3 linked regions of the Kluyveromyces lactis genome follow. The protein of the gene in region 1 purifies or fractionates together with the protein of each later gene. This does not show direct contact. Links are inferred from orthologs where the notes say so. Each region holds a gene or a part of one and is shown on either strand. Other genes may lie near its edges.

What was found.
Region 2: the proteins of MRC1 (region 1) and MCM3 purify together in Saccharomyces cerevisiae (affinity purification with western blotting; 5 studies listed by BioGRID, with this or other methods). This does not show direct contact. The link is inferred for Kluyveromyces lactis from reciprocal best matches to the Saccharomyces cerevisiae genes MRC1 and MCM3.
Region 3: the proteins of MRC1 (region 1) and MCM2 purify together in Saccharomyces cerevisiae (affinity purification with western blotting; 4 studies listed by BioGRID, with this or other methods). This does not show direct contact. The link is inferred for Kluyveromyces lactis from reciprocal best matches to the Saccharomyces cerevisiae genes MRC1 and MCM2.

Annotation. Positions count from the first base shown.
Region 1 is NC_006039.1:35,328-39,553, reverse strand, and holds MRC1 (chromatin-modulating protein MRC1), read left to right. Parts: upstream 1-1,379; coding exon 1,380-4,157; downstream 4,158-4,226. Other genes in the region: ribosome biosynthesis protein KRR1, read left to right, coding at 1-970; VAC17 (Vac17p), read right to left, coding at 4,224-4,226. UniProt on the Saccharomyces cerevisiae protein: Required for normal DNA replication. Phosphorylated in response to DNA replication stress. Phosphorylation allows it to mediate the activation of RAD53.
Region 2 is NC_006041.1:1,979,890-1,984,082, forward strand, and holds MCM3 (MCM DNA helicase complex subunit MCM3), read left to right. Parts: upstream 1-1,385; coding exon 1,386-4,181; downstream 4,182-4,193. UniProt on the Saccharomyces cerevisiae protein: Acts as a component of the MCM2-7 complex (MCM complex) which is the putative replicative helicase essential for 'once per cell cycle' DNA replication initiation and elongation in eukaryotic cells.
Region 3 is NC_006042.1:1,165,440-1,169,577, reverse strand, and holds MCM2 (MCM DNA helicase complex subunit MCM2), read left to right. Parts: upstream 1-1,234; coding exon 1,235-3,868; downstream 3,869-4,138. Other genes in the region: KLLA0_F12606g (uncharacterized protein), read right to left, coding at 1-498; NCL1 (tRNA (cytosine-C5-)-methyltransferase), read right to left, coding at 4,098-4,138. UniProt on the Saccharomyces cerevisiae protein: Acts as a component of the MCM2-7 complex (MCM complex) which is the putative replicative helicase essential for 'once per cell cycle' DNA replication initiation and elongation in eukaryotic cells.

The sequences.
Region 1 (4,226 bases):
CAAGCCTTGGGATACGGACGAGGTTGACAAATGGAATATCGAGGAGTTTAAACCCGAGGACAACAAGTCTGGCCTTCCTTTTGCTGAAGAATCCAGTTTTATGACTCTATTTCCAAAGTACAGAGAAGCGTACTTGAAATCAGTTTGGAAAGACGTTACGAGGTCTCTCGATGCACATCATATTGCATGCGAATTGAATTTAGTTGAAGGTTCTATGACTGTAAAGACTACAAGAAAAACGTATGATCCAGCAGTAATCTTGAAGGCTCGTGATTTGATTAAACTTTTGGCCAGATCTGTGCCATTCCCACAAGCAGTGAAAATCCTAGAAGACGATGTTGCCTGTGATGTTATAAAGATTGGTAACTTTGTTTCTAATAAAGAAAGGTTCGTGAAAAGAAGGCAGAGACTAGTGGGTCCTAATGGTAACACTTTGAAAGCCTTGGAGCTTCTAACAAAATGTTATATTCTTGTCCAAGGTAATACTGTCTCAGTAATGGGACCATATAAAGGATTAAAGGAAGTACGCCGTGTCGTCGAAGATTGTATGAAAAACGTACATCCTATTTACCATATCAAAGAACTCATGATAAAGAGAGAACTTGCTAAGAAGCCTGAGTTAGCCGAGGAAGACTGGTCTAGATTTTTACCTATGTTCAAGAAGAGAAATGTTGCAAGAAAGAAACCAAAGAAGATCAAGGAGAAGAAAATATACACACCATTCCCACCTGCACAATTACCTAGAAAGGTTGATTTGGAGATTGAGTCCGGTGAGTATTTCTTGAGCAAGAGGGAGAAGGAAGTCAAAAAGTTACATGAGCGCAGGGAACAACAAGCCGCTAAACACGCTGAAAAGGAAAGCGAGAGAGCCAAGGATTTTATTGCACCAAAAGAAACCGACTACAAAAGCTCAATTTCAAAATCTACAAAGAGCTCTTTAGGAGACAGGAAAAGACAGCGTACCGATTAAAGCGCTAGTAAGTATTTTATTATATAATCGCGTTTCCATCCTTTTCTCATGACTCAAATTAAGAAATATAGTTTTAAGTTAAGTTTCAACCAGTTGCTTTGTTCAAAAATCGTCCCAGTAGACACTTTACGATTATATTTATGGACCACGTATACGCTTTTCACTAACTATCATTCATGCCAGCAACGTTCTTGCTTTTCCTTATGTCAAAACCTGCGGTGTGACAAAAATATAGTACGTACGATCAAGAAGGTTTTTTGAAAAGAAAAATGAGAAAACGCGTAAATATTTAAGGCTCGCAGCCCAATCTTATAAGCACGATAATGTTACCAGGTAAGGCATTATTATAACCGTTTTATTAAAGGAATTCAACACCTTGCAAACACTTCGGCACATTATCAAGTGCAGAATGGACCTACTAGATGATTTGAACGTTGGCATTCATAAAAAGAAAGGCAAAACATATTCTAAAGCGAACGATGCAGAAGATGAAGAGCTGAACGTGGGAGAGCACAAGTTTCTAGCAGAGAATCTGCTTGAAAGAGTCAAAAAGAGACTAAATGGAGATTCAGATGATAGCACTGCTTCGGCAATTGATAACAGTAAAAAAAGCACATTCTTCTACAGTGATACCGATTTGTATGAAGGTAAAGAGTTGGACGATGAGTTTGAGGCAATGCGTGAAACTGCTGCAGTACCAAAGCAGCGTGAAGTGGAAATCCAACAGAAAAAACATCCAATATCTCAGACACAATTAATTCCTACATTCTCTTCATCTTGGCTGGCAAAGACTCAAGTAAATACTCAGGCACTGGAGGGCACCAACAGAACCATTGATAGACAACAGCAAGATTTAGACACACAATTGAACAATGAGGAAATTACACAGACTACACCAGATGAACACACTCTTGATAAAGCTGCAACCGAAAGTAAATTGCTGCACAGTAAAGAAACTTCCTTTCGAAATACTTCGTTTACATTTAAGTTGACAACAAACAACAATGAAGGACTACTGGCAACTAAACCAAATGGAACTCAAATAGAGAATGAGCAAAAAGTGGTCGCTACTCAACTTGATGTTGCTGAAAAGGAGAAAGCCGTGCCTCTTATAAAAGATACTATAGAAGAACCACATTTACCTGTAGCACCATTAAAGGCTGTCCGAAAGAAATACCTCCCTGAACAGTTCATTGCAGCTTTTGATGATTCGGAGTCATCCAACGCAGAAGATCTTTCAGATGAGGAAAATGATGCTGATGAATTGAAAGATATGGCATCTACTCAAGAGTTAGTCACGAAACAGAAGAGTGTTGTTACTAATATGAATGGGATTATTGCCATTACTATGAAAAATAGTCCACAAAATGTTATTGAACTGAACTCTTCGTCCGAATCTGAAGATGACTATAAATCACAATCGTCCAAGGCAGCATTATTGCTGATTAAAGCTAAGAGATCCAGGAATAAGGCTACTAAAGCAAAGAACATGCATGTTTCTACAGTTGACTCTTTGAAGGAATTGTTTACATCTTTGAAAACAAAGAACAGAGACCAGATACTTGAATTTAGAAGAGAAATATCCGGTAAAAAAGGAATATCACTTGAAGCGATTGAAGATGAAAAGATTCAAGTTGAAAAGCTTCTAGAGCAAGAGCTTGAAAGGAATAGGAGAGTTAAACTAAGAGAAAAAAGAGAAAGAGAGAAATCAAAAGATACGAGTAAAGCTGCATCTTCTGGTAGCGCATCCGATGTCCCTGATAGCGATGTGATGGAGAGTGATTTAAGCTTATCAGATAGTGATGTCGAGCAGCATTTAGGGCTACACGGGTCCACTGGTTCAGACGAAGATAGCGCGGATACATCGGCAGCCCATAAAAACAACAATCCTATAATAGATGATGACGAGAGTTCTTCGTCAAGTGATGATAATGAAGTCACCCAGGAGCCGATTGGCATCAATTTAGGGCATTATGGCGATAATTTAACTTCCTCAAATGTAACGGAAAATGATGGTGCTGATCAAAGTGACAGAAATGTGCCTTCAAATTCAGAACTGAAGATGAACAGATCACATTCAGCGAAATTATTGGTGGGAGAGTTAAGTTCCGATTCCTCAGTAGACTCTGATTCCTCAGAGGACGAGCTCGACGAAGTAGAAAGGAATAGGCTTCAAGAAAGGGCTAAAATGCGCCGAAGAATGGAAATAGAGGCAGCAAAAAAGCGGAAGCAAGTACTTAAATCAACTGGTCTCAACAAAATATTGGAAATGGAAGCAGAAGAATCTGAGGATGAATGGCATGGTGTTGGTGGTGCTGACGGAGAGAATTCAGATGACTATGACTCAGATTTGGATACCATGATAGATGATTTTTCCAAAAGCAAGTTTGATACCGCTTCAATAAGAGAAAGGTTAGCCTTAGAGAACAAAGAAATGGACGAAAGGATGATAAATAAAATCTTACATGATATCAATACCGGAGGCTTTCGTAAACGTGGCCGAGGAGCACTAGATCTTGAGTTAAGCGATGATGAGGATGAGTTACTACGACAGTTTAGGGAAAAAAGAAGAGAAATAATGAAACAAAAGCTACTAGAAAATGTGGACGGTGTAGTCAATAACTCAAAATCAAAAGCCTTTTTCGATAGTATGGTGGAAGATATAACTAGAAAGTCAATCCCTGCTGTCACATCATTCAGCAATACTCGAGATGAGATGGGAAAGAAGAAAATTGTCATATCAGAAGAGTTTGTTCAGAGTTCATTATCGTTTTTAAGTGCAAAAGATGATGATATCAATGAATTTGAGGTCACTGAAGCAGCACATGATGCAACTGAGGATTTGGAATCTTTGAAACAGCGAAGCAATATTAAATCTCTCGATTCCCCTCAAAGGAATAGAAACTCCGCCTTCTTTGATGATGTGGATGGTACATCTCTGGACTTCAAATTGCCCAGCATCGTAAAGTCTTTTTCGTCAAACTCAGATGTTAATGACAAGTTCAAAACGGGGATCAAAACTGTTACTATATCTAAATCTTATAGAGTAGCCTCTGGTTCTCGATCTGCCATCACTTTCTTGGGTAAAAAGAGAAAATTGAAGGCACCCCAAGGCCGAAAATCCACACCGTTGGTACGCAAACCAACATCTAGCTTGTTTGACTCCAATTCCGATAGTTTCACCTGACCCATCCAACTAATATGTCAATTTCATTATAAAATCTCTTAAAATTACATTTGTATAATCATTATATCA
Region 2 (4,193 bases), on another chromosome or scaffold:
CCTGGATAAATGGAAAGAAGAAATTGGATCAACCGTTGTTGATACGTTGAGCTCCTAATGTGTTTTGAGAGGGACAGGGGATCTTCTTTTGTTATCAGTGAGATTGGACTCGAGATGAAAAAGACTTGAAATATGATTCCTTTTTTATCCTTGCATGTTTTCACTTGTCCATCTTTCTGTGTTTCCACAAAAGTCGTTTTCCTTCCTGGAACGGTTTTGGTTGCTACTCCCGGTGTTCTTTAGTACGCTATCTAATTCCCCATTTTTTTTCGTCTACTGTTAAGCATCCAATTATATATATTAACTTATATGATATTCTGGGTGTTTTACGTGGGTTTTCAGCAATGGGATGGATTTTGAGTTATAATTGTTGGTTGGAGAACAAGAAACTGTTTTTTCTTTTCTGGAAAACACTCAATCGCTCCTTTCCTTGTCAAGCGTCATTGATGGAAATACTATCAGATACGTTATTCTTTATCACTTTCTCCTTTTAAATCAGCTTTTTTCTCTCTATTCCAGTAATTTTTTTTTTCACTCAATTAAATATCATTATATCCTTAATTCTATTTCTTATATATTTAAATCTTCTTTAACGCTTCCGTTTGTCGTTTTACATTGTCATTGAACCCTGTTAATATGGGGTGTGTGTACTCTTCCGCACTTGCAGACTGCCAGTTACTAAACGGTTGGGAAACCATCCTTGTTTTATTTTTTCAAATTTTGGCTCATCGTCGATAACTTTCAATATCAAAAGCTCAATTGTAGGCAAATATGATTTCGTTAGATTACTTTCTTTAATACCATCTAATGTCCATACTAGGTTCAGAACGTTGGCAAGGGTCTGTAGTTTCTTCTTGCACTGTGAAGCGCGGTATAGTATTTATTATTTACCAATTCACAATATAATGAGTGACATCTTCTGGATCATGTGATATGAACCTAACATCATTTTATCATATAACATGGCAACATGGCCGAGCGGTTAAGGCGAAAGATTAGAAATCTTTTGGGCTCTGCCCGCGCAGGTTCGAGTCCTGCTGTTGTCGTTATTTTTAACCCCTTCTTCCTTTATTTTTTGACGCGTTGCCATTTCTCATTACCCGGAAAATTATTCCTCTTTCTTTTCCAAAAACGGAAAAGATATTGACGAAAACATCAAATCTCATTTCTCTTTGCCGTATTCTGTTGGTAAAATACAGCTGAAACTCGATTCTGACAAAAATAAACTAGAAGAACCATATCAAGAACGTTTCTATCCCAGAACAGCACTGGTGCCAATGAAACATTAATTTTTAGCACCTTCATTTTAATAATATTATTGCATTTATCGCTCCCTGTTTAAAGGACTTTGCTACTGAAAAACACCATAAGTACCGAATTCAATCATGAGTGATGCTATGAATCAAACAAGTGATGCTGTCTTTACAGACAGAATGCGAAGGTTTCAAGAGTTTTTGGATACCCATTCGCATTATACTCGAGAAATAAGATCAATACTCGAGTTTAACAGCAACGTAGTGAAAGAGAAAAAGACGGATGATGATTATTTAAATACTGCAGACAAAGATACGATGGACCATGACACTAATCAATTGCCATTGAGAATAACAGTATCACTTGACGATTTAAGAGAATTTGACAAAACATTTTGGACTGGACTTTTACAAGTACCCTCGTTCTTTTTACCACCAGCGGAGCGTGCTGTTTCGGAGACTGCAATGGCCTTAGATGATAGCCCTCTCGGGTTTCGCGGATTCCAAAATGATCCCAGCAGACAATGGAGACTGTCATTCAAGGGTTCTTTCGGTCCGAATTCTTTATCACCACGTACCTTAAACTCAACACATTTGAATAAATTGATCTCAGTAGAGGGGATTGTAACGAGAACCTCACTTGTGAGGCCAAAACTTCTCAGATCCGTGCATTATGCCCAAACCACAGGCCATCATCATTACCGTGATTATCGTGATGCGACTACAACATTAACCACATCCGTACCAACACCAGCTATTTATCCAGAGGAGGATCAAGAAGGTAATAAGCTGGTCACAGAGTATGGATTTTGTCATTACATGGATCACCAGCGAATCACCGTTCAAGAAATGCCCGAAAAGGCCCCTCCTGGTCAATTACCAAGATCCATTGACGTTATCTTGGATGATGACTTAGTGGATAAGACAAAACCAGGTGATAGAATTAATATTGTTGGTGTATACAAGTCATTAGGTGCAGGTGGTCTAACAGGTGGTTCTAATAACAACGACAAGGGTAACGGTGCTTTATCTGGTTTCAGAACTGTTGTAATTGGTAACACAGTGTACCCTCTACATGCCAGGTCTACAGGTGTGTCCGCCGTTGAAACGCTATCAGATAATGATATTAGAAATATCAATAAGCTATCAATGCATGATAATATTTTCGACACTTTGTCCCAGTCGTTAGCACCATCCATCTATGGCCATGAACACATTAAGAAAGCCATCCTATTAATGCTTATGGGTGGTGTGGAAAAAAATTTACCCAACGGTTCACATCTAAGAGGTGACATAAATATCCTTATGGTTGGTGATCCATCCACCGCTAAATCTCAAATGCTTAGATTTGTGTTGAACACAGCAGCATTAGCTATTGCCACTACGGGTAGAGGTTCCTCTGGTGTCGGTTTGACAGCAGCCGTCACTACTGATAAAGAAACTGGTGAAAGAAGATTAGAAGCAGGTGCGATGGTGTTGGCAGATCGTGGTATCGTTTGTATCGATGAGTTTGACAAGATGTCCGACGTAGATAGAGTTGCTATCCATGAAGTTATGGAACAACAAACAGTAACAATCGCAAAGGCTGGTATACATACAACATTGAATGCTCGTTGTTCAGTTATCGCAGCTGCAAACCCTGTTTTCGGTCAATATGACGTTAACAAAGATCCACATAAAAATATTGCCCTACCGGATTCTCTATTATCTCGTTTCGATTTACTATTTGTGGTTACGGATGATATCAACGACATCAGAGATAGAGCTATCAGTGAACATGTCTTGAGAACACATAGGTACTTACCTCCTGGATATTTGGAAGGTGAACCTGTTAGAGAGCAAATAAATCTATCATTGGCTGTTGGTGAAGATATCGAAAACGAGGAAGAAGATGATGATGAGGACGTAGTTTTCGAAAAATTCAATCCACTTCTACACGCCGGTGCGAAGCTTGCAAAGAACAGAGGTGATAGCAATGGTAGCGAGCTTCCTCAAATTGTTGCGATACCCTTCATCAGAAAATACATTCAGTATGCAAAAGAGAGAATTATTCCTCAATTGACTCAAGAAGCTGTAGACGTTATCATCAAATCATATTCAAATCTAAGAAACGATCAGAACACCAAGAAATCCCCTATCACGGCAAGAACTCTAGAAACTTTAATCAGATTATCCAGTGCTCATGCCAAGGTAAGGCTTTCAAAGAAAGTAGAACTAGAAGATGCAAAGGTAGCAACACAATTACTAAGATTTGCATTACTAGGTGAGGACGGAGCCAACTTCGACGAACAGGAATTTGCCGAAGGCAGAACAACCGAAAAATCTCCAAGAAAGAAGCCAAGAGCTTCTCCAAGGAAGAAGAGAGGGGCCGTTTACAAAGAAGTTGACTCAGAGGATGCAGAAGAGGACCAGGAAATGGCAGAGACTCAACCGGATCCTGCTGACGGTCTGGAATCTACGATGGTACGGTTAGCACCAGAACAAGAGGAAGACCTTCAAAGAAGACTAGAACAAAACTTGAGAGTGAGTCCGAGACGCCAACTATCAGTCGAAAGAAGAGTACTTTCACAAAGCGACCATCAACAACAGGTTCTCCACCACTCCTCGCAATCCTCAACTGGACCCCTTGAAACTGGCTCTCAATTGGAACCGTCTCATATGACCCTTGATTTTATGTCCATCGAAGAGATGGACCAGGGTTCAATCTCAACCGGTAGGTTATCGTCACTCTCAGGTATTGTTGCAAGACTCATGCAATCAGACATTTTCGAGGAAGAATCGTATCCTGTCGCCGCACTTTTCGAAAGAATTAACGAGCAAGTTCCAGAAGAGGAAAAATTCACTGTTGATGAATACGTTGCTGGTCTAAGGATTATGAGCGATAGAAACAATTTAATGGTCGCGGATGGCAAAGTATGGAGAGTATAATCTTAATTTCAT
Region 3 (4,138 bases), on another chromosome or scaffold:
TTCTGTAACCGGGTCTGGGTTTTCTTCTATCCCTAGAATGCAGTGATCATGAAACCAGTCCTCATTGCACTCCAAGCCAAGGACGCATTGTAACATCGTTGTCGTTGTATTCGGGTCATACTCTCTATGGCAAGAGCAAAATAACCCTTTGAAATTCTGGCCATACCTGTTACTCATGTCTGGTATATCTGGTGTAGTATTCTTTCTTATATTACAAGGTGTGAACTTCTCACCGTGTTCAAACTGCCTTTCTGTACCGCAATCGCAACTGAAATTCCTCTTATCGAAAAGTTCCACCAAGTCACAGGTACTGTGACACTGAATAGAGCATGAATAGCACACTCCTATACTGTTGCAAGTACGACATGCGAATATTGGCTGTCGAATTGGGCCCATGGAATAAGTGCAATGGCTTGGATCATATGGCATCAGTTTATTTGCTTCATCTTCCAGTTCCTCCTGTCGCTTCACATATTCTTTAACGCTAATCTCGCTCATTCCCTAACACCAACAAGACTATCTTTAAGTGCCAGAACTCACCTTGTAGTAAGAAATGCGTGAATGAAGGTACCCTTTTTGCCTTTAACTTGACGTGTTCCTTATGTTTAAATTTGGGGATATTTCATTGATAGTAAGAGATTTTCCATGTCGATGAATCAATATTCCGTATGATTTTACGTCAATATCGACACATTTGGACGGTTACCGGATGGAAATCGATCTAATATGGGGCACAAAATGCATCACATCATTCCAGAGCTTCAACATCCATACTTTACCTGCAATTGTGTTGCTTCATCGTGTGATTGGAGCTATAAGTACGGTTTTTAAGCGTATGATCCCATGTGATTATCACGTGATCCACGCATCATAATAAAGAAATTATACTAATCAAATGTAGATTGCAAAGCTAAAAGAGGTGAGAACTACCGATTGGTGTTATTGGAATATTGCCATTGCTGTATTATTAGCCCCAACGCTCTACAATGGTCAGATCGTTGCAAAACACCATTTTAGGAAATGTTATTGTTTCAATTAAAGATCATTTTCGTACATTCAACTGAAGAAAAAAGCCGGAAAAAACGTTAAGATCTTAAGATAGCTTTAGATCCCAATGGTCTGAAACAAAGTGTAACAAGTAGGTCATCGAAGCATCAGGAAGACAATTGTGTGATCGGATTTGGTAGTGCGATAATTGAAGATTATTAATTGCTGTTTTTGAAAGTGTTTCAAGATGTCTGATAATGATGAAATAAATAACGGAAGGAGGAGAAGAAGAAGAGCTGATGATGATGAGGATGAGGATGATTCTTTGTCTACACAACCCCGTGAAGGTGGCGCTAACATCCCTAGTTCTCCACAGTTTGAAGACCCGCTTGGATCTCCAGATGAGATAGATTTTGAGAATCCAGATAACGATGGAGATGAAGCTGTCAATGTTCAAGAGGATCTTGAAGATGTGGAAGAAAGAATGAATGAAGTCGATTTGATGGGTGATGATATGTACCGTGATTACGCTTCAAACACAGAACATGATACGTATGAAAGAAGAGGAGTCGACGACCAGGAGCAGCAAGAGTTGTCGCTCGCTGAGCGTAGAAGAATCGATGCACAATTGAACGAGAGAGATCGTTTGGTGCATAGGAACACAGCATACCTTGATGATGATGATGGCGAAGGAGCTGGTGCGCATAATTTGGATGCTATGGGTCTTCCAGTACAGAGGAGACGTAGAAGACGTCAATACGAAGAAGCAGATGATGATTTGTTATCAGATATGGATATAGATCCGTTGGCAGATGAGCTCTCGTTGGAATCTTTGGCAGATGTGAAGGCATCAAGTTATTCTGAATGGATCACTCAACCGAATGTATCACGTACTATTGCCAGAGAGTTGAAATCGTTTTTGCTTGAATATACTGATGAGTCAGGTAAATCCGTTTACGGTGCTCGTATCAGAACTCTCGGTGAAATGAACTCTGAATCCTTGGAAGTTAATTATAGACATTTGGTAGAATCCAAGGCCATTCTAGCCCTATTTTTAGCCAAATCTCCCGAAGAAATGTTGAAAATATTTGATACAGTGGCTATGGAAGCTACACAACTACACTATCCCGATTATACTCGTATTCACTCGGAAATTCACGTAAGAATCTCGGATTTCCCTAGTATATTGAACTTACGTGCTTTACGTGAAACTCATTTGAATTCTTTAGTTAGAGTTAGTGGTGTCGTGACAAGAAGAACTGGTGTCTTCCCACAACTTAAATACGTTAAATTCAACTGTTTGAAATGTGGTGCCACACTTGGGCCTTACTATCAGGATTCAAATGAAGAAATTAAAATCTCGTTCTGCACAAATTGTAGATCTAAGGGTCCCTTCAGAATTAATATGGAAAAAACTCTGTACCGTAATTACCAAAGAATCACCATCCAAGAATCACCAGGGTCTGTTCCAGCCGGTAGATTACCACGTCACAGAGAAGTCATTTTGTTGTGGGACTTGGTTGATATCGCAAAACCTGGTGAAGAAGTCGAAGTGACAGGAATCTATAAGAACACATATGACGGTAATTTGAATGCAAAGAACGGGTTCCCCGTTTTCGCAACAGTACTGGAAGCCAATTCAGTGAAGAGAAGAGAAGGCGGATTGCATGATGGTGATGAACACGAAGGGCTGGATGCCTTCAGTTGGACAGAAGACGAAGAGCGTGAATTCAGAAAGATGTCTCGTGACAGAGGAATCATCGATAAAATCATTTCATCAATGGCTCCATCTATTTATGGGCACAGGGATATCAAGACAGCAATTGCATGTTCTTTATTCGGAGGTGTTCCTAAAAACATTAACGGTAAGCATTCCATCCGTGGTGACATAAACATTCTACTTCTCGGTGATCCAGGTACTGCCAAGTCCCAAATTTTGAAATACGTGGAAAAAACTGCCAACAGAGCTGTCTTCGCTACAGGTCAAGGTGCTTCTGCAGTCGGTTTGACAGCTTCTGTCAGGAAGGACCAAATAACTAAAGAGTGGACTCTTGAAGGTGGTGCGTTAGTGCTTGCGGATAAGGGTGTTTGTTTGATTGATGAATTCGATAAGATGAACGATCAGGATCGTACTTCTATTCACGAAGCAATGGAACAGCAAAGTATATCCATCTCTAAGGCAGGTATCGTTACCACGTTACAAGCCAGATGCTCTATTTTAGCTGCCGCCAACCCGATCGGTGGTCGTTACAACTCTACTCTTCCGTTATCACAAAATGTCAATTTGACTGAACCAATTTTGTCAAGATTCGATATCCTCTGCGTGGTAAGAGATTTGGTTGATGAAGAAAGTGATAATCGGCTAGCATCTTTCGTCGTTGATTCACATATCAGGTCTCATCCAGACAAGGATCTGGATGATTTTGATGATGGTAACGTTCCAACGGAAAATCCTAATGGGGAGGGTGATGAAGAAACTCCGTTATCTGCCAAACAAAGACGCTTGCAGAACCTTCGTAAAAGAGAAGAAGAAATTTCGCCCATATCTCAGCATATGCTAATGAAGTATATTCATTACGCAAGAACTAAAGTTTACCCTAAGTTACATCAAATGGATATGGACAAAGTGAGTAGGGTTTATGCTGATTTGAGACGAGAGAGTGTCACTACTGGTTCATTCCCGATCACCGTTCGTCATTTGGAATCTATCTTAAGAATTGCTGAAGCCTTCGCGAAAATGAGATTATCAGAATTCGTTTCCTCATGGGATTTAGACAGAGCAATTAAAGTAACAGTGGACAGTTTTGTGGGTGCACAAAAGATTAGTGTACGTCGCCAACTACAAAGATCTTTCGCTGTTTATACTATGGGAACAATGTGAAATCAAGATTCAACATTTCCAACGGAAGAAAACAATTCTATAAGCTCAGAACAACAATATACCGTTCCCATTTTTTCCATTATAGATGCAGTACTACATCGCTTATATTAGCATAATATACAAATTTGTAACTAATAGACTTAAATAATGATTACTTCAACCTTCAAAGGAATACCGCTTTTATAATTTCATGTAGAAGTCTATAACTGATAATGTGGAGTGAAGAAACTTATTCAGCCGTGGATGTTTCAGTGACAGTTACAGCAGGTA